3 linked regions of the Sus scrofa genome follow. The protein of the gene in region 2 interacts with the protein of the main gene of each other region in a pairwise test. Links are inferred from orthologs where the notes say so. Each region holds a gene or a part of one and is shown on either strand. Other genes may lie near its edges.

What was found.
Region 1: the proteins of HMG20A (region 2) and HPCAL1 interact in binary tests that used the Homo sapiens proteins (3 or more experiments, as listed by UniProt). The two-hybrid records come from large-scale screens. The link is inferred for Sus scrofa from reciprocal best matches to the Homo sapiens genes HMG20A and HPCAL1.
Region 3: the proteins of HMG20A (region 2) and DTNB interact in binary tests that used the Homo sapiens proteins (3 or more experiments, as listed by UniProt). The two-hybrid records come from large-scale screens. The link is inferred for Sus scrofa from reciprocal best matches to the Homo sapiens genes HMG20A and DTNB.

Annotation. Positions count from the first base shown.
Region 1 is NC_010445.4:126,107,646-126,114,122, forward strand, and holds HPCAL1 (hippocalcin-like protein 1), read right to left. Parts: upstream 3,531-6,477; coding exon 3,153-3,530; intron 2,484-3,152; coding exon 2,378-2,483; intron 664-2,377; coding exon 566-663; downstream 1-565. UniProt on the Homo sapiens protein: May be involved in the calcium-dependent regulation of rhodopsin phosphorylation.
Region 2 is NC_010449.5:57,547,714-57,554,090, reverse strand, and holds part of HMG20A (high mobility group protein 20A), read right to left. Parts: intron 5,324-6,377; coding exon 5,176-5,323; intron 2,774-5,175; coding exon 2,561-2,773; intron 1-2,560. UniProt on the Homo sapiens protein: Plays a role in neuronal differentiation as chromatin-associated protein. Acts as inhibitor of HMG20B. Overcomes the repressive effects of the neuronal silencer REST and induces the activation of neuronal-specific genes.
Region 3 is NC_010445.4:113,226,420-113,232,896, forward strand, and holds the start of DTNB (dystrobrevin beta), read left to right. Parts: upstream 1-2,741; 5' UTR 2,742-2,940; intron 2,941-6,477.

The sequences.
Region 1 (6,477 bases), on a different chromosome or scaffold from region 2:
CTTACACTTTACACGTCACTTCACCATACGTATAACTTATATATTAAAAGAAAGAAGACCTTGGTATATATATATATATATGAGCAAGAGGCTTTGGTCAGAGAGGAACGAACGAGCTGGGTGGAGCCATGCACGGGGTGGGGGGAGGAGAGGGAGTGGGGGGGGCTGCCCGTCTATGTTCCCTCCATTCTTGTCTCCATCTTTCCCAGAGTCACCTGCGATCACAAGAGAAGTCGGCTGGCCTTGGCGCGATCTTAGAAAAGTCCCGCCAGTATCCTCGGCGCGTCCTCTGGGCTCCCTGCAGGCCGGGAGGTGGCCCAGAAGCAAGGATGCTGGGAGCCCTGCGTGTAAACACATCCCGGGGAGTCGCCCAGGAGGGACCCGGGAGGGGGCGGGAGGAGGCCGGGCGGAGGGGGGGAGGCGCGGCCGCCGGGCGGGCAGGTGCCACGCGGCGCCTGGCTGCCCTGGGAGAGCAGGAATGACTGAGGAGGCATCCACTGTCGCAAGCAAAGCTTAAATGGCAAGACAAGCTTGTGTTTCTCTGCACTGTCCACATGCCGGGCCCTTAGAACTGACTGGCGCTGCTGGGGTCACACTGTAACAACCGGACGATGGACGGGTCGCTCTTGGCACCTTTAATGAATTCTTCCAGGGACAGTTTGCCTGGGGGAGAAATGGGAGTTAGTGTGCTGTCACCATTCCTGTGTCACTGTCCCCACGCGCCCTTGAGTCCTGGATGCTGTCCAGGCTCCACTCGTTTCAACGGCATTTCTGGGGAGTTCCTGTTGAGGCTCAGCGTGAGAACCCGACTAGTATCCATGAGGATGCGGGTTCGATCCCAGGCCTCGCTCTGTGGGTTAAGGATCTGGCGTGACTGCAAGCTGTAAGTCACAGATGCGGCTTGGATCTGCTGTTGCTGTGGCTGTGGCGTAGGCCGGTGGCTGCAGCTCTGATTCAACCCCTAGCTTGGGAACTTCCATATGCTGTGGGTACGGCCCTAACATTAAAAAAAAAAAAAAAAGAAAAGAAAAAAAAGAGCATTTCTGGAAAACCCTTTTTGGCTTTCACTGTTCGTGGCACAGCACGGGGCCCCTCAAAGGCTGTCCCCAGTATGGCTGCACGCTGTGGCTGGTGGGGCAAGCTAAATCCTTCTAGAAAGTTCTCCACGCTTTATTTAAGAACGACGTGTCTTGTCCGGAAAGAACATGGCCTCTGTCTCTAGCCCATAACCAATCCAGAGCCTCCCAGCCACTGCCCGGGGTGTGGTTCCGGCCCGTCCAGCTTGGCCATCCATTGGCGGAGGCTCGGCCCGCTGCTCCGGCTGAGTCCCCTTCCTGCTCCTGCACTACCTGCTTTGCGGGGTGGGAGGGTTAGGCAGAGGCCTGCCAAGGGCCTGCTGGTGCCTGCCTCGTCCTCGGTGCCTCCTGCATCGAGGACCTTGTTACTCCTGGGACCGGGTGCCGTAGAAAGGTGAGTTCCAGAGCCACCGACGCTGGCGCCAAACACATGCTCCCAGGATACAGATGTGGGAGGGACCGAGTTTGAAGCAGACCCTGCATTGTGGCAACTTGTGCCTTGGGGAGCCCACTTCCTGCCTCTGCATAAGAGGCTCTCCAGCTGCGGTCGCGCCGCTGCACCCCTCCCCCGAGGGCGCAGCCCTCGGCCTCCTCCTCGCACCTCACTTCGGGGTCTAGAGAGCACGCTTCTGTCCATTTGCTTATTTTCCATCTCCAGCACAGCCCAGGGGGTATTTTCTCTTTTTTCTTGTCTAAATGCTGCATTTCTTTATTGATCAAAAGCAAATCGGACCAGGCTCTGGGACGGCACTTAACACTGCTTAAGAGGCGTAGACCCGTGGAGTTTCACAGCTACGCTCCCCCTGTGGGCCCCGCAGAAGCTCGCAGCCAGTGCAGAGCAGGAAACACACTGAGTCCTCATTGTGCGGCTGCCACCGCCCCTCCTGGAAGCGCCACCTCTGCCGTGGCATGAGCCCAGAGGCCCCGCACAGCTGCTCCAGCCAGCACCTCCCCGCAGAGTCCCTGGGGCCACTGGGAGCCCTCCAGTCAGGATAATGAGAGCAAAGGGATGCAGTTCCCAGGGCCCCACCACATGGGACGCTTGGTCCCCACCCCTGCAGGGCGCGGTGACACTGCACCTGCGCCTCTCCCTGGACAGCCGGGGCCTACCGTCCCCCGGTTCTAGAAGCAAGGAGACTACAGATCAGGGGGGCAGGACGCTCACCCAGGCACCCGGACTCCGAACCCCGGCTCTTCCCTGAATGCAGCTGCATGGCTGGGTGAGGCCCGAGAAGCTGCAGAGCAGGAGGGAAGGCTCCCACACGCATCTGTGCTCCGAGGCACTGACGCCGGGGTCTTACCGTCATTATTGGTGTCCATCTGTCTGAAGATCTTGTCCGTGCGTTTCTCAGGGGTGGACTCGTCCTCCGGCATCTTCATCACCGACGACACCATTTTGTAAATGGCCTGCAAAGGGGCACACACACCTCGTGCTCAGCGATTCCGGGGTGTCCCTGGACGGGTGGGGCCCAGGCGCGAGCTGCCGCCTCGGCCTCGCCCACAGCAGTCGGGGCTGCGGACCCCTCCCTAGCTGGAAAGTTGCCCGCTCCTCCCAGTAGCGAGGAAGGATATGGCAGACAGCACACGAGCCAGAGGAAGCCGGACTCATTTACGTGAAGTTCAAGAACAGAGGAAATGACCCGAGGTGATGGCTGTAAGACAGGGGTTGTCTGGGGGCGGGAGGCGGGGCAGTTCTCGGGCTTTCTGCGGGCTGGACTGCGGCGGAGGGGGAGGACCCGGCCAGACGCGGGCACGGCCCATCACGCGGCACGCCGGGCCTCAAACACCTGACTACGGGATGGCTGCACCTCCGTTAAAAGCCAAAAAAAAAAAAAAAAAAGACTCAGACCCTGAGACCCAGCAAGGAGAACCATCTCACTAGCCCCAGAAAGGACCGAGCACCTGCTCTCTGGGACACTGCCATGGGAGGGCTCAGCAGCCCCGCCGGCCACCTCCGTGCGTCTCTGTCCAAGGGGCCCGAGGAAACCCGGGCTCTGCCACCATCACCACGGCCACGGCCACGGCTACGGGCGTGGCGGCCCCGAGCCCTGGGTGGGCGGGGCCTCGGAGACGCACCTGCACGATCTCCAGCATCTCGCTGCGGCTGATGTAGCCGTTGCCGTCCAGGTCGTACATGCTGAAGGCCCACTTGAGCTTCTGCTCCAGCTTGCCCCGCGACGTCACGCTCAGCGCGATGATGAACTCCCGGAAGTCGATGGTGCCGTCGCCGTTGGTGTCGAAGGTGCGGAAGACGTGCTCGGCGAACTTGGAGGCGTCGCCGTAGGGGAAGAAGTTGGCGTAGATCTTCTTGAACTCGTCCACGGTCAGGTGGCCGGTGGGGCAGTCTTTGAGGAAGCCCTTGTACCACTCCTGCAGCTCGTGGTCCGTGAACTCGGTGTTCTCGCGCAGGTCCTGCAGCACCTCGGGCCGCAGCTTGCTGTTCTGCTTGCCCATGACGGCCGGCGGTGGCGACACCTGCAAGACAGGGGGCCCAGCTGGGGACTTCGGGGCCGGGGAGGGCGCCCCACTGCCGGCAGCCGCTGAGTGGGCCGGAGGAACGTCCCCTGCCTGTCTCGCACCCAGGGCTGGACAGGCCGGACTCTGGCCATCATGGTGATGAGACGTCTCAGCGTGGCTGGGATGCCTTCGGGGCGGTGGCGGTGCAGTGTACCCCTAGGGAGGCGGGGATGCTCCAGGGAGTCAGGGCCAGCCGACCTCACACTGGAAGGAATACCCTACTTCCAGAAGGTGGAGATGTGGAAAAATGGCCACTTGAAATCGAGAGAATGAGGCCCACTGGGGATTGTACAAGACTTAAGGATGGAATCCTTACTCTCACCGCCCTCGTCAGCTCCAGGCGATACTGTCACGCTGACTGCACCCCACACCCCCTGTTCTGAGCCGTGCTTTTCTCTTTCGGGCACCATATTCTCTTTTTTCTTTTTCTTTTTTTTGGTCTTTTTAGGGCCGCTCCCATGGCATATGGAGGTTCCCAGGCTAGGGGTCGAATCGGAGCTGTAGCCTCCAGCCTACACCAGAGCCACAGCAATACCAGATCCAAGCCGCGTCTGCAACCTACACCACTGCTCAAAGCAACACTGGATCCTTAACCCAATGAGTGAGGCCGGGGATCAAACCCGCAACCTCATGGTTCCTAGTTGAATTCGTTTCCACTGTGCCATGACGGGAACTCCTCAGGCACCATATTCTGACTTCATCCTTAGAACAGGCATCCAAAAACTTTGAAGGAGCCCCTTCTTGATTTTGTTTGAGAGACCCTCTGGTTGGGGGTGGGGGTGGGGAGTGGATCTAGAATCAGCACCAAGAGTCCACAGTGTCTTCGGTGTTCATGGTAAAATCTCAGGCCCCTGCAGGCTTAAGGATCTGGTGGTGTCACTGTAGATAGAGGCTCAGGTCGCTGCTGTGGCTCAGGTTTGATCGCTGGACTGGGAATTTCCACACGCCACGGGTGTAGCAAAAAAAAAAAAAAAAAAAAAAAAAGACTGACCCTGGAGTAACTCCTACTAGGCATTAATACAGCTTTCTCTTTGCCATCTCACTTTATTTATTTTTCTTTTTTTATGGCCATGCCTGTGGCATAAGGACCCGGGCTACGGGATGAATCAGAGCTTCAGCTGAGGGCTACGCCACAGCCAGGGTCCAAGAAGCATCAGCGACCACAGCTCACAGCAACTCGGGATCCTTAACCCACTATCGATGCCAGGGATCAAACCCACATCCTCACAGACGCTCTGTCGGTTCTTAACCCGATAAGCCACAGTGAGGACTCCCTCCGTTTTGTCTTTTTGCCTTTTTTGGGGGGGGTGGCTTTTAGGGCCGCATCCTCGGCATATGGAAGTTCCCAGGCTAGGGGTCCAATCGGAGCTACAGCTGCCAGCCTACACCACAGCCACAGCAATGCTAGGTCTGAGCTGCATCTGCGACCTACACTACAGCTCCTGGCAATGCCGGATCCTTAACCCACTGAGTGAGGCCAGGAATTGAACCTGCATCCTCATGGATACTAGTCAGATTCATTACCGCTGAGCCACAACAGGAACTCTTGTATATGTTTTTACTATTCAAAAAATAAATACACAGGAATCCTCTGTTTCTTGGCCAAGCAGCTTGAGAGGAATCTCTTGCTTCTCTCTAAAAGATCAAGCTATGAATCCCCCACCCCCTTCCTTCATCCCTGCTTCTGTCATGCTGAACCACTGCTTTTATTTATTTTTTATTTTCATTTTTTTCCTGAAACCCTGCTTTTACACTGTCAGGGTTTACTGTCTCGACTTGACTTGAGGCAGATCCTCCTAAGCGGAAACCAGCAAATCACTACATAACTTGGTTGTCAGTTTCCAATGTCCAAAGCGCCTCCCACCCCCAGCAGCACCCGCACCCCAGGGCTCCCAGACTCGACTTAAGACCCCAAGGACTAACGAACAAAATAATGCCATTTGCAGCAACATGGATGGACCTAGAGACTCTCCTACTAAGTGAAGTAAGTCAGAAAGAGAAAGACAATTACCAGATGAGATGACTTAGATCTGGAATCTAATATATGGCACAAATGAACCTTTCCACAGAGAAGAAACTCATGGACTTGGAGAAGAGACGTGTGGTTCCAAGGGAGGGGGGCGGGAATGGGATGGACTGGGAGTCTGGGGTTCATAGATGCAAACTATTGCCTTTGGAATGGGTAAGCAATGAAATCCTGCTGTGTAGCACTGGGAACTATATCTAGTCACTTATGATGGAGCATGATAATGTGGGAAAAAGAATGTATATATTTATGTGTGACTGGGTCACTTTGCTGTACAGTAGAAAATTTCCACCTATGATGGAAAAAATAAAAATCAATAAAAAAAGACCCTGCAGACTACACACTTTCACCTCGGTATTTCTGCGCCCTGAAGGGTGCAAAAGAGGGACTTGTCCTGGGCATCTGTCCTTCAATCTCCCATCTCGTGCTTCAAAGGCAGCGACCCACTTGCAGAGTGGGCGGCCCGGGAGAGAGTGTCCCCCACACATGCTCACCCTCACGCTTCACTCGTTCAGCTGAGACCTGAGGCTGTTCCCACCAGCAGCGTGACTACGTGTCTGTCGGGGCAGCCAGAGGGACCCAGCACGCAGGCAGCTGGACTGAAAAAAATGCCCCAAAGTCCCATAGTCAAGTTCTAACCCCAGGACCTCAGAATGTGGCTGTATGTGGGGGCAGGGCCCATAACAAGTTCATTAAGATAAAATGGGACCATATGAGTGGGTCCGGATCTGATCCTGAAAGAGGAGCCTGGGACCCTGACAGACGCGGAGGGAAGACCACGTGAGGGCACGGGGAGGGGACGGCCCCCCACAAGCCGAGAGGAGAAATTTCAGCAGGAACCAGACCTGTCCCCACTTT
Region 2 (6,377 bases):
AGGGGAAAGGATGGAATATTACTTTGTGTCTTTATCCCCAACCCATTCTGAGGGGATGATCTCATACATCAATGGGCCTTTTAAGAGCCAGAAGAGTGGAGACATAAAGAGCATAAAAAAGAATGACCTCATCCAGTGGACCTAAAACGAACTACTGTGAGAGAGCCTGTATCTACATGCTTTGTGATATGAATTATTTAAACAAAGTTCATTGATCTACTAGGATAATTTTGTTTAATGCCTTGTACTTTTCATTCATCAATTAAGTTTAAGAAATAAAGTATAAAAACACTGCTTCTAAATGAAGTCAGAAATATGTTAAAAGCTTTATCCCACATTAAGAGCCGGATGTAGGGGACAACCGACTGGCTAACTCTGGGACAATTCAAGTATCAAAATACCTAAATGAATATCTTAGAGTATTTAGTAATAAATTATAAACTATTGGGAAAAAATTCTTTTGCCGATACCAATAGTAAATAAATAACAAACAAATACATAAATGGAGGGAGGAAGAGGGCTCTTGCTTAGACTGGAATACCGAGGGCTGACTGGTAAATGCTGAGGGAGTGAGAGAGTTGGAAAATCATCATTTTGCAAAATGATGGTAAAGATTAGATCAGGCAAAAGTCATCAATGAATGCTAAATCTAGGGCAAAATTTTGATGTGGAACAGACTATTTTCGTGTTCTTAAAGTGGTCTTTCCACAGATTGATTGTTAGTTATAAGGGAGAATAAAAAACTTTATTAAGTGAGCAACATTAACATTACACAAAAGGATATCGTGTGCCTGCATACATGATACCCTGAGCAGGACCAACACCATCTATGTGGTATTCTGACCAAGAATGCATAACCTCAATCTAATCAGGAGGAAACATCCAAAATCAAAATGAGGAATGTTCTGTTAAAAGTAAACAAAAAGGAGGGGCAGGAAGAGGGACAGACTGTATTCTTAAAATATATCAATGTGACAACCAAAGGCTGTGGAAATAGTCCAGATTAAAGGAATCTAGAGATTTGACTACTAAATGCAGAAGCTGACCCCCTGGACTGGAATCTGAACTGAAGGGGGAAAATGTTACAGAGGAATGATGTTAGGTCAACCAACAAAATTGGAATATGGATGGTAGGTCAGATAAAAGTATAGTGTTTAGTAAGGTTGTTAACTAAACTGTGGTTATGTGAGAGAATATGTCTGTTCTTAGGAAATCCACACTGAAATATTTAAGGGTATAGGACTATGATGTATGTGTGTGTGTGTGTGTGTGTGTGTGAGGGGAGAGAGAATGCACGAGTGTGCCCAAGCTTTCCCGGGAGAGTATGAGCATGTGCAAATAGAGAAAAAGTGTTAATACTAGATTAATCTGGGTAAAGGGTATTTGGGTGTACTCTGTTCTATTCTACGTTTGTAACTTCTTGCATATTTGAAAAATTACATTGAAAGAAAAAATTAAAAACAAAGACAAACACAAAAACCCTTGCCCTACTTAACTACTGTTAATTATCCCCGTGGGCTGTCACTGGAGATGACTTCTGCTTTTTTCTCTACATACTTCTGTACTGCCTGAAAATATTTTAAACAATGAGCAGGTACTAATTTTGAAATAAAAAAATTAAAGAGAAAAGCGTAGCCTAGTATGTACAGCTCATGATCCCTTTATACATTAGCACTAAAACAATGGATGATACACGCTGTTTTCTATTAGCTTGCTACCACAAGCACAGAGCTCCAAATTGCAACTCAATCTGATCTCTTTGAAATTTTTTGAATTCAGTTAATTCCCAAGAGTATTTTCCAATTTGGTTTTAGTCTGTTTGGAGTCCTTTTTAAAGAATGTAAGGCATAAAAGAAATATAGATATATTTCAGATGCTGAGAATACTGGGACCTTTTAACCCAAAACTATTCCCACAGTCATTACCATCACACCACTTCTGTGGCATTTCAATGAGTTCGTGGTTATCTTGTCTTTAATTCCACTCAAATCTCTCCAACAAATGGATTTGTTTCAGTTTGGCAATAGGGTTAGTTTCTGTCTTGGAGGAGAAAGAATTCAAATAGTTTTTGCTTTATTTTCCATAGTAGGTTAAATCTGCCAGAACTCCAGTTAAAAAAGTTTATATTAAAGCAGTAAAATCTTTTTCTTAAAAATTTCATGTGAACAAAATTTTATCAAAGGACCTTTTCTCATTTATCTCATGACTTTATTCATTTAACTCCATAGAATAAAATTATGTTGACAGATTTCTTATTGGTGAACTACTTTTTACAAAAATCTTTTATGAATTTTTAGGACATAAAGCAAATAAATGTGGAGTTGCTTTGGTTGAGGGGGGTCCTAGAGTCCCTCCTGCTCACACCCCTGCAGCAGACTCGGAAAGAGTGTAAAAACCACAGAGCTGGAGAAAAGAGCTGTGAAGGACCCTGCTATTCTGTTCTCCTAGGCACCATGACAAAAGTGAAGAATCAACAGGCAATTTTCTTTGCTTTTCTGATATAAGGTATTTTTGAGATTTAATCAAAACCAAGCAAAGGATCAGGAATAGGAACAATTACCTGTTTTTCCTCAGGAGGAAGTTTACTCCATTCATTGCCTAACATCCTTGTAATTTCTGGAAATGGGACTTCTGGTCTTTTTGCTCGAAGCTGTTCTCGACGCTCGTTCATGAACCGGACATATCCTGTGAGGGGGGATTTGGGTGCATTGCTGTCTCGAAGAGGTTTCTTCCTTTTTCTTCCTTTGGACCAACCTCCTCGTTTACTTCTTTGCTACAAAGGCGAAATAAAAACCCTAGATCAAATTACAATAGCAAAAATTTCCCGAAATAACAACAATCAACACCAAAAAACAAAACAGGATTAAGAATTGCATTTTCCCACCATTAAGGCCCTGGATATTTTCAAGCTTTCCAAATCTGTTATAGGTACAAATGACTGCAATGCAGTTTTCAAGAAGGGACTCCAGAGGGTTCACTTGCAGACCTTTTTATGTGCTATGTTACAAACTGTTACACTCAGGGGCTATTTTAGGGCTAACCCCAACAGATAAGAATAAGAGGTACCATGCTCAAAAAGCCTTGGCCTTCATATGAACTTAACAAGTCCTGACTCCTGGCTGGGGAATGTTCTAAATGAGAATGCAGCACATACAGAACTCTGTGCCAGAGAAGCAGACATTGCTACAGTAGATCAGAACAAGATGCTGTACCATGCACTGGGCAAAAGAACAGGCAAATGTAGCACAGGAACTAACATCATTGATGAAGGGTCTTTCTCACTGATACCACTCAAAGATCAGTTTATTTCCCACAGCAGAGAGCAATACAGATTTTAAAATTAATTTCTAAGACTTAGAAAAATTTCAGCAACTATAATATATCCAAAATGAAGACTACTTCTTTGGCTTGATGAGTTATATCTTAAGATGTTATTTATTTATTTATTTATTTGTCTTTTTGCCATTTCCTTGGGCCGCTCCCGCAGTATATGGAGGTTCCTAGGCTTGGATGGAACCTGCAACCTCATGGTTCCTAGTTGGATTTGTTAACCACTGAGCCACGACGGGAACTCCAAGACGTTAATTTTTAAAGGCAGAGGTCTTAATGTTACTAGTTATAGCAAAAAAGATGAAATCACCCCCAGAATTCCCGTCGTGGCTCAGGGGTTAATGAACCTGACTAGCATCCATGAGGACACGGGTTCAATCTCTGGCCTTGCTCAGTGGGTTAAGGACCCAGTGTTGCCATGAGCTGTAGTGAGGTCGAAGATGCGGCTAAGATCCCGCGTTGCTGTGGCTCTGGCTTAGGCCGGCAGCTACAGCTTAGATTGGACTCCTAGCCTGGGAACCTCCATATGCCATGGGTGCGGCCCTAAAAAGACAGAAAAAAAGAAGAAAAAAAAAAAAGATGAAATCATCCCCCCAAAAATTTCAAAAGAGGACTGAAGTATTTTTTCTTTGTCCTTTTAAACAAGATGCAAGGGGAGTTCCCGTCGTGGCTCAGTGGTTAATGAATCCGACTAGGAACCATGAGGTTGCGGGTTCAATCCCTGGCCTTGCTCAGTGGGTTAAGGACCCAGCGTTGCTGTGAGCTGTGGTGTAGATTGCAGACACGGCTCGGATCCCGCGTTGCTGTGGCTCTGGCATAGGCCGGTGGCTACAGCTCTGATTAGACCCTTAGCCTGGGAACCTCCATGTGTCGCCGGTGCAGCCCTAAATAGACAAAAAAAATAAAAAAATAAAAATAAATGATAAACAAGATGCAAGGTACTTTTGCGCAAATTTTACAAATTCACATAGCCTATCAATTAATAATTTTAAAGTTTTATAGATATAAGCATTCTTATTTCAGAGAAGAAAAAGATAAGCAAAATGGGACAAAAATATCTAAATACTACTTACCATACTGTACTCCTCCATATTTAAAATGGTACAATAGTTCAGCATGGGGCAAATGATATATTTTGTATCAGATTTTTTTCCTTCCTGTTTTGTTTTGCAAACCTAGTAACATTTAACAGTAAAGCTACTAAGGACTTAAGATGTTTAAGAAGCTTTAAGCATTCATCAAAAATTTTAAGAATGCCAGCATGAGAAGAATCAGCTCTTTCAAAAATAAGAATAAAGACAAAAATCAATGGTGGTACTCTTTCATGGCTTAAAAAAAAAACCCAAAAAACCTTAAAACATAGACTAGGCAATCAGTCATTTCTGAGGAACAATGAAAGTCCAACAAGGGCATGACTGCCCAGGCCCATATAGAACCTCTGTGTGAATTAAAGAAAGATGCCCCCAATGGGAGGGTGAATGACAATCCTTTGGCCACATATGACTGCATGCTGCAGGGTTTTGTGAGAAGTGTGTGGTCTTGAATAACAGCACCTGGACTCCTCATTAATTACTTATTCAATTAAATCATTCAACTCAGTAAGTACTTGTTGAGCAACTAATCTGATGCAGGTATAAATTTTTTAGGCAGGGGAAAAAAGAGTCTACCTTTCTCTGTATCATATTAAAACCATTAATATGTAGTCTGTGTAAAACAAGAAACAGAAAACAGAAAATTCTGCAGAATGTAAGGAGGCCAGGGGATGAACACCTGGATCAACTGCCTTGCTGACTGCCTCTTCAGAAGCCTCAGAGACCACTAACAGGAGCAGATGCTTCAGCTTACCTCATCTTCGTGCCTTTGTTCATTGCCTTCTGCTGTATTTGAAGACTCATTCTGAAGCAACTGACCTTGGGAGAGATCCTCTACAAATTCTGGATTGTTAGTGGATGATGTGGCTCCACTACCATATGGAACTTCTGGATGGGTTAACCTGAAGAATGGTAGGCAGAAGTGGAAAAGTTCAGTCTCAACAGTCTCAAAACCTCCTCATTAACCAAGGGGCAAGATAAATTTCAGGGACCGCAAAATTACACGCCAGCTCTTGAATTAATTTTCCCACCTCATGCTGTGTAAATGTAAACAATAGCTCCATAGCGATTACAGAGCATTTTAAAACAAGGTTTCAGTGCTTGGTTGAACCAGGTCAGTTCCATGAAGTCTCCTTAGAAACAACTATAATCTTTCCCCCACAAATTACCTCTCCCCTCAATGCAGACTTCACATTTTAGTTTTGAGCATGCAGCTAACTTTTATGTGCAGTTTTTCATATAAAAATATTTTATATGCTACTTATCTCTAATGCAATAAAAGGAAAAAAAAACTATTAGTGGAAAAAGAATAGGAATGGGAGTTGTAGAGATCATTTGCTTACGCTTATCACAAAGAGTTCTTTAAGGGCATAAGAAATATTTCTTATGGTACGTTCCAGAGGCTACTCCTTCTTGGATTCTAGTGTTTAAGTTCGGTAAATTCAGGTATAAATGTTAATAAATCAGAGATACAGATTTTCTATTCCTACCATTCTGTTCTAGATGAGTCAGCAAACCAGATCTCATCCTTCTGAAAGGTGGAATCAAGACAGTACAGATGATGGCTGGATCTTAGACTGACCTTCCCTAATCACATGAAGATAAAGGAATGGATATAAAGGTAATACCCTGTGCTAGAGTTTGGGTTTTTTTGCTAGGTACTGGGAAAGTGGGGGAAAATGTACAAGAGAGCAATTAGTTATTATTCTGGAAGAATGTATACTCCATAGGGTTATAAAAAATAATTGCAATGCAATATAAGTACTGAAACAGAAGTCTGTAAAATGCACCATACAAGTACTGTAGAGGGGATGATGAATTTTATATGTATGGAGAGAATGTTAAGAAAGACTTCAAAAAAAAAAAAAAAAAAAAAAAAAAGGAGTTCCCATTATGGTGCAGCGGAAATGAACCTGACGAGGAACCATGAGGTTGCGGGTTTGATCCCTGGCCTCA
Region 3 (6,477 bases), on a different chromosome or scaffold from region 2:
CGACCTACACCACAGCTCACAGCAACGCCGGATCCTTAACCCACTGAGCGAGGCCAGGGATCGAACCCGTAACCTCATAGTTCCTAGTCAGATTCGTTAACCACTGAGCCACAACAGGAACTCCCCCACTATATTTTACATAGTGGCTCAGGGCTTCAAGAGCAAGTGTTTCCAAAGACCTGGGTGGACTCCTCAAGACTCCATATGATTTAGGCCTGGAAGTCCCATAATACCACACATTCCATTGGTCAAGCAATTCACTTAGGCCAGCCTGGATTAAAAGTGATAAAGAATTTACAGGGAGTTCCCATTGTGGCTCAGCGGGTTAAGAGCCCAACATAGTGTCTGTGAGGATGCAAGTTCATCCCTGGCTTTGCTAGGTGGGTCGGGGATCCAGCATTGCTGTGAGCTGTGGTGTAGGATGCAGATGCTGCTCAGATCCTGCCTTGCTATACGGCTGTGGCATAGGCTGGCAGCTGCAGCTCCGATTCGACTCTTAGCCTGGGAACTTCCATATGCTGTAGCTGTGGCCCTCAAAAAAAAAAAAAAAAAAAAAAAAAAAAAGTGACATGCTCTGTGTTCTTAAATGCCTCCAAGGGCCCTAGCAATAGACTCAAAAATGGCCTGGAGCATTTAGGATGAAGCCTGAGAGCAGTGCAGTGAAATCGTGGGGACAGGAGCCACACAGCTATGGGTTGGGGATTGAGAGGGTGCTGAGTTGGCAGAGATTTGTGAATAAAAAGGCAGGAGTAGTAACCAGAGCATGATCTAGAGTGACAGAGGTGTCCTCCTTTTTCTTTAGAGCAGGAAAAGCTCAAACATGAATAGATGGTGACAGCAAAGGACAAGTAGGTAAAAGAAGTCGGCAATTTGGGGAATGAGAGTGAGGACTGAAATGCTTGAAAGAAGTTTTCTGAGAATGTGAGAGGTGCAGAAATACAGAACTGAGGTGGCGAGATGCTAATATGAATATATTAAAAGTGGTTAATTCCCAGAATGGCTAAACCACATACTGAAATTACTGTGGTTTCAATCAATAGGGCAAACAGAGCAAGCCACATTTACATGTTTATTTTACATTATTTACACATCTTTCCTCCAAAGGGCAGGATCGATGTTTCACCTTTTCAATGCCTTCCACACAATTGGTGCTCCGTAAGTAGTGAGTAAACAAGAGCTCCCTTACCTGTATTCTGTGTTTCTTAACACATTCAAAACATAGCTAAGACCCTGCACACAAGTGAAAAATTCTTCTATGTATGCAAAACAGTCACAAAATTTATGTGTGATAGACGATGCCAACTTTTTTTGAGGAACCTGTTTACTCGAATTTAACAAACTTGGTTTCCAGCATCTCCTTCACCATAGAGGTTTAAAAATAGGAGATGAGAGGAGGAAGAGGATGCTGTAAAGGCAGGCAGGCAGGCAGACAGCAGCAGGAGGTGGCACGATGTACCATAAGTTGCCAAAAAACAGTGAAAAACCAGACTCAAAACATACCGGCCTGGGCTCTCCTGGTTTAGAGATTCACATCCTTCACTAACATATCAAGAGTCTTTAAAGTGTTTGGAGCCTCAAAAAATGTTGAGAAAATGATCCTTTGAACTGTTAAAAGAAGCATTGCTGTTCCTCATTCGGCACCACCTTCTGTTTCTCACACAGTTTGGACAGGATTTGATCAAAAATGGATATTAGGAGTTCCCGTCGTGGCGCAGTGGTTAACGAATCCGACTAGGAACCATGAGGTTTCGGGTTCGGTCCCTGCCCTGGCTCAGGGGGTTAACGATCCGGCGTTGCCGTGAGCTGTGGTGTAGGTTGCAGACGCGGCTCGGATCCCGCGTTGCTGTGGCTCTGGCGTAGGCCGGTGGCTACAGCTCCGATTAGACGCCTAGCCTGGGAACCTCCACATGCCGCGGGAGCGGCCCAAAGAAATAGCAAAAAGACAAAAAAAAAAAAAAAAAAAAAAAAAAAGGATATTAAAGCAAAAAAGCTGATGCTGAGATGGTAACCTTTATTTACTCTCCGTTCCTTTGTCCAAGCTGTTTACCTAGCTTTTAATGTCCCCTCCCCCTTTTTTCCTCCTAGTACGTCCTTTTCTTCCCTGCATGGTGAACACAAATGCCACCTCTTCCAAGAACCCCCGAGCATTGTCCAAGCGGAAGTAATCTCTTCCTCTGTTCTCCCACAACATCTCACTGTGGCTTGGCTTTGCACGGGTCACCAGACCTGGTTGTTTACATGGCTGCTTTTCCACTAAGTTATGCGCTTCTTGTGATCGGGGACCGTGACGATGACGATGTAACCACACAGCACCTGGTACAGCGCTACAGCGCTAGGCACGGAGTCGGTGCTCAGTAACTGCTCGCTGGGTTGAATCAATCTGGAAAAATCACTCGGGGCAGGGTCTCGTGCTCCAGGCACGGATGAATGATTCGGGGTGGAGGTGGTTCTTTGCATTTTTTACCTCGTAGTTACGTCGGGGCGAGCATCCAGGTGGCGGGGCCCATACCTACGGAGTAGAAATGCACCTCCGCGGCCCGCTGCAGACACCCGGGCGAAGTCGGTAGGGGGCAAGTTTCCTCCGCCCTCCCGGAACCCGGCCGTAGGGGGCGGGGCTCGAGGGGAATGAGGCCCGCTGGCCCGCCCCCTCCTCCGCGCGGCGGAAGCCCCGCCCCCAGCCGCGCGTTCGCGCAGGCGGCTCGTGCCCGCCCCCAGCCCTGCGCCCTCGCGCCCTCGCGCCCTCGCGCCGGGGGCGGGCTCGCTGCGCGTGCCGGGCGGGGAAGCGGCGCGAGCCGGGCGCCTGAGAACGTTCGCCGCGGGGGCGGCTCCGGGGCCTGAGCGGACGCCGCCGCCGCCTGAGCCGCGGGGGCCGGGCCGGAGGAGACGGAGGAGGCTGCGGCCCCCGAAGACCTTCTCGACGCCCCCAGCTCCGGCCGAGAAGTAAGTACGGTGGGGGTTGGCGGCGGCGGCGGCCGCTGGCTGCGGGAGAGGAGCGCGGTGCTGGAGCCTCGCGCTCGCGAGGGACGAGAAGGAGCCCGCGCAGCGCCCGCACCTGGGGAGCCTGCGGGGGTGCAGGGCCGGGAGCGGCGGAGACTGAGCCTGGGAGCCGGGGCCGCAGCACCGCGCGCGCTGTGAGAGGAGACGGCGCCGCGCGAGCGGTCTCCGCCGCTCCTGGCCCCCGCCGCTCCCGGCCCTGGAGGGGCGATCCGAGGGGATGGAGCGCAGCCCCCGGCTGGCGTCGCCGAGCTGTGATCCCCGGGGCCGGGGAGGGGACTCCCGGGTCCCGAGCTTGCTGTGGCCACCGGGCGCGGAGCTGGGGTGCGGGCGCTGGACTGATGCTGCCGGAGGCCGGCTGGCTGGGAGGAGGCTCTGCGTTAGGTGTTGAAGGGGGCGAAGGAGGCAGGTCCTGGCAGAGGGCAGGTGAGGCAGGCAGGCCCTGGCAGAGGGAAGGGAATTTATTTCACATCGCCCTAAAGCACTATTTCCCGAGGCGCCTAACAGTGAACCTGTCCCCCGAGGTCACCCTTTAAAGGAAAGTGCCCTGAGAGGAGGGAGGATGCAGCTATGGAATGCTTGCTGTTAAATTCCTGTGCCAGGCCTTGGGATTAGGAAGACCTTCCAGCCTTCTCAGCAAATGTTTATTGATTAGCTCTTTTCGGTCGAGAACCGTGATCCACAAAATTGTGTAAAACACAGCCATCGTTTGCTGTTTGGGTGCGGACAATCCGATTGTGAAGGTATGCGTATAAAATACAAAGCAGATTTGAGTTTTACCTCATACCGTATTCATTTTAGGTCTCTTTTTTCACAGTATTGGGAGGTTCGAGTCATAAAACTGCTTGGTTTGGGGATTCAAGTAGGAGGGTCCGAGAAGCTTGTGGGAAGAATTTGGGAGTTTTTGAAGGTGCTTTTAACATTTAAAGGGGGAGAAGGGAAAAGAGAATTGGAAATAGGTAAGAGAAGGGAAAAGGGAATTGGAAATAGATAAGAAGTTCCCTTCCTTCCTAAGTAGAATGAAACTCCATGACTGTTAACTGAATCCTCAGTGACAGGAACAGAGCCTGAGCCCCAGCAGGCACTAAATGCCTGCCTCTTGCAAAAATGAATGAACCCAGCAAGGTTTTGCTCTATTTTACACGGAACCCTGTTGATCAATTTGGTGGTAGGGATAGCTGATGAACTTTACTTGTTCTTCAGGCTCGATCTCTCCTTTTTTTTTGGCCGAGTAACCCAGGTTCTTAGATCTTCGTGGCTATAGTGACGGAGGTGTGATTTTTTTTTTTTTGGCCTTGCTGCCACTTTCACGTCTTTATTGCATGTTGGCTGCCAGGAGCTTACTCTTTGGGCCATTGCTTCAAGTCATCCCATTTCTGGCCCTCCTCTTTTCCATCACTTGGGGAAGGAGAATACTTTTGTCTAGAGAACACTTTTTCATTTTTATTCGTGTTCTTGGATCTTAGGTCTATAGTGAGAGGATATATCTCTGTTTTTTGAGGGCTGAGATTCTGCCTTTTCTCTGCCTTGGTTGGATTTCGGGACTCAGGCTCCAGGCTGCTGTTTCAATTGCCTGTGCTGCAGTGCCTGTTAGGTTACTTTGACTGCCAAATTAAAACTTGACCTTTTATGAGTTCTCTGAGGATTTTTATCACACATAAATGGAATTACCTTTGAAGGGGGTAATGTAGTCAAGGCAGTGCTGGCAGGGTTTTGAGTGTCCACTCTGTGTGAGAAACAAAATTTCTACTTAGAAAATCAGACTTAAAGTCAATAGAATGCCAGGTAACCATTTATTTTATGTCTTTAATATAAAATATCTCAGGACCTATGTTACCTCATGAAAATAAAGTATTAATTCAAATTTGGCATTCTGTAGTAAGCCTTGAAGAACTAAGTTAGTTTCAGGGCTGTGTACTTAAGAGTACAACCAGCAGGTGTCTACTGGTTCTTATTTATTTATTTATTTATTTTTAATTTAGGGCCGTGTCTACTAATATGGTGGTTTCCAGGCTAGGGGTCAAATCAGTTTCTGCTGCCAGCCTATACCACAGCCACAGCAACACCAGATCAAGCCACAATGGGAACTCCTACAGTTCTTGTTTTGGGATACCTAGGTCCTGTAATTTTGGATGCCTTGTTTCAGGTTTTCTCAATGATACTGTATTTTATTTATTTATTTATTTAATTTATATTTCTTTCTAAATCGCCTTTATTGATGTATGGTTTTCATATAATAAACTGGATAGCTGTTCCATGCAGAATTGGACGAGTTTGAAAAAAAAAATATATGTATATACAGATCTTCCTTCTTATTTATTTCTTCTTTTTTTTTTGGCCTATGCCGCAGCCACAGTGTTGTGGGATCCCAGCCACATCTGCGACCTACACCACAGCTCACAGCTGTGGCTGATCCTTAACCCACTGAGTGAGGCCAGAGATTGAACCCTCATCCTCATGGATCCTAGTCGGCTTTGTTAACCACTGAGCCCTGAAGGGAACTCCCCTCTTATTTATTTCTAATTATGCAAACATGAGGGCTGTGGCATCTAGTTGTGCAGGATGTATACTGCTAACTGTAGGGGTGCCATTCACATCCGGGTCCCTGAGCCTGGTCCCTCCTGGGGTTATATGGTGCAGCCTGTGGCTGTGTACTGCAGCCCTGCAAGTGGCTCGTGAATGCACGCTCTCTTAGAAAATGCTCGAACAGTACAGACAGACTAAAGGCCCCCTTGACCCACTCCCTTCTCCACCAAAACTGCGATTACCAGTTTGTTGTGATCCTGTCAGACCCTTCTCTCTAGGTTTTCATCTGTATGTAGGTAACGCAGACAAAAGTAGGATTTCCTGCCAGGCCCCCATTAATGACATGATACTGTACACCTTGGTCTGCAGCTTTTCTCTGACAGAATGTCTAAGGTCTTTCCATGATGGAACATAAAGATCTACCTGATTCTTGACGACTGCCCAATCCCTTATGTAGTATGCACTGGACTGCGGTTTATTAATCCTCTCATTAAGGGTCATTAAAGCTGTTTGCCGTTTCACACGTTGCTGCAGCGAGTGAAAAGTACAGCTGCTAGGTCTAAGGGGTGCCCGATTGAAATTAGTCAGTGAAGACTTAACCATGTTGCCCTTTGTGGATCTGGTTCATTTATTTTTAAATGCTGAGTACTGTTCAGTTGTGGACTTCAATCACTCTTTATGTATCTTTCACTCACTGAGTATGACCAAAATGCGTAGGTAGTACAGGAAGTTCCTATAACCCCTCTTCTTCATAGAGACTCTCCCACTGTTAACATCTTACATTAGTGCAGTACATTTGTTATAACTGATGAAGATATAGTGACACTTTTTTTTTTGGCTTTTTAGGGCCCACCTTCAGCACATGGAGGTTCCCAGGCTAGGGGATGAATCAGAGCTGCAGCTGCCAGCCTGTACCACAGCCACAGCAATTCTGGATCCAAGCCGTATCTGTGTCCT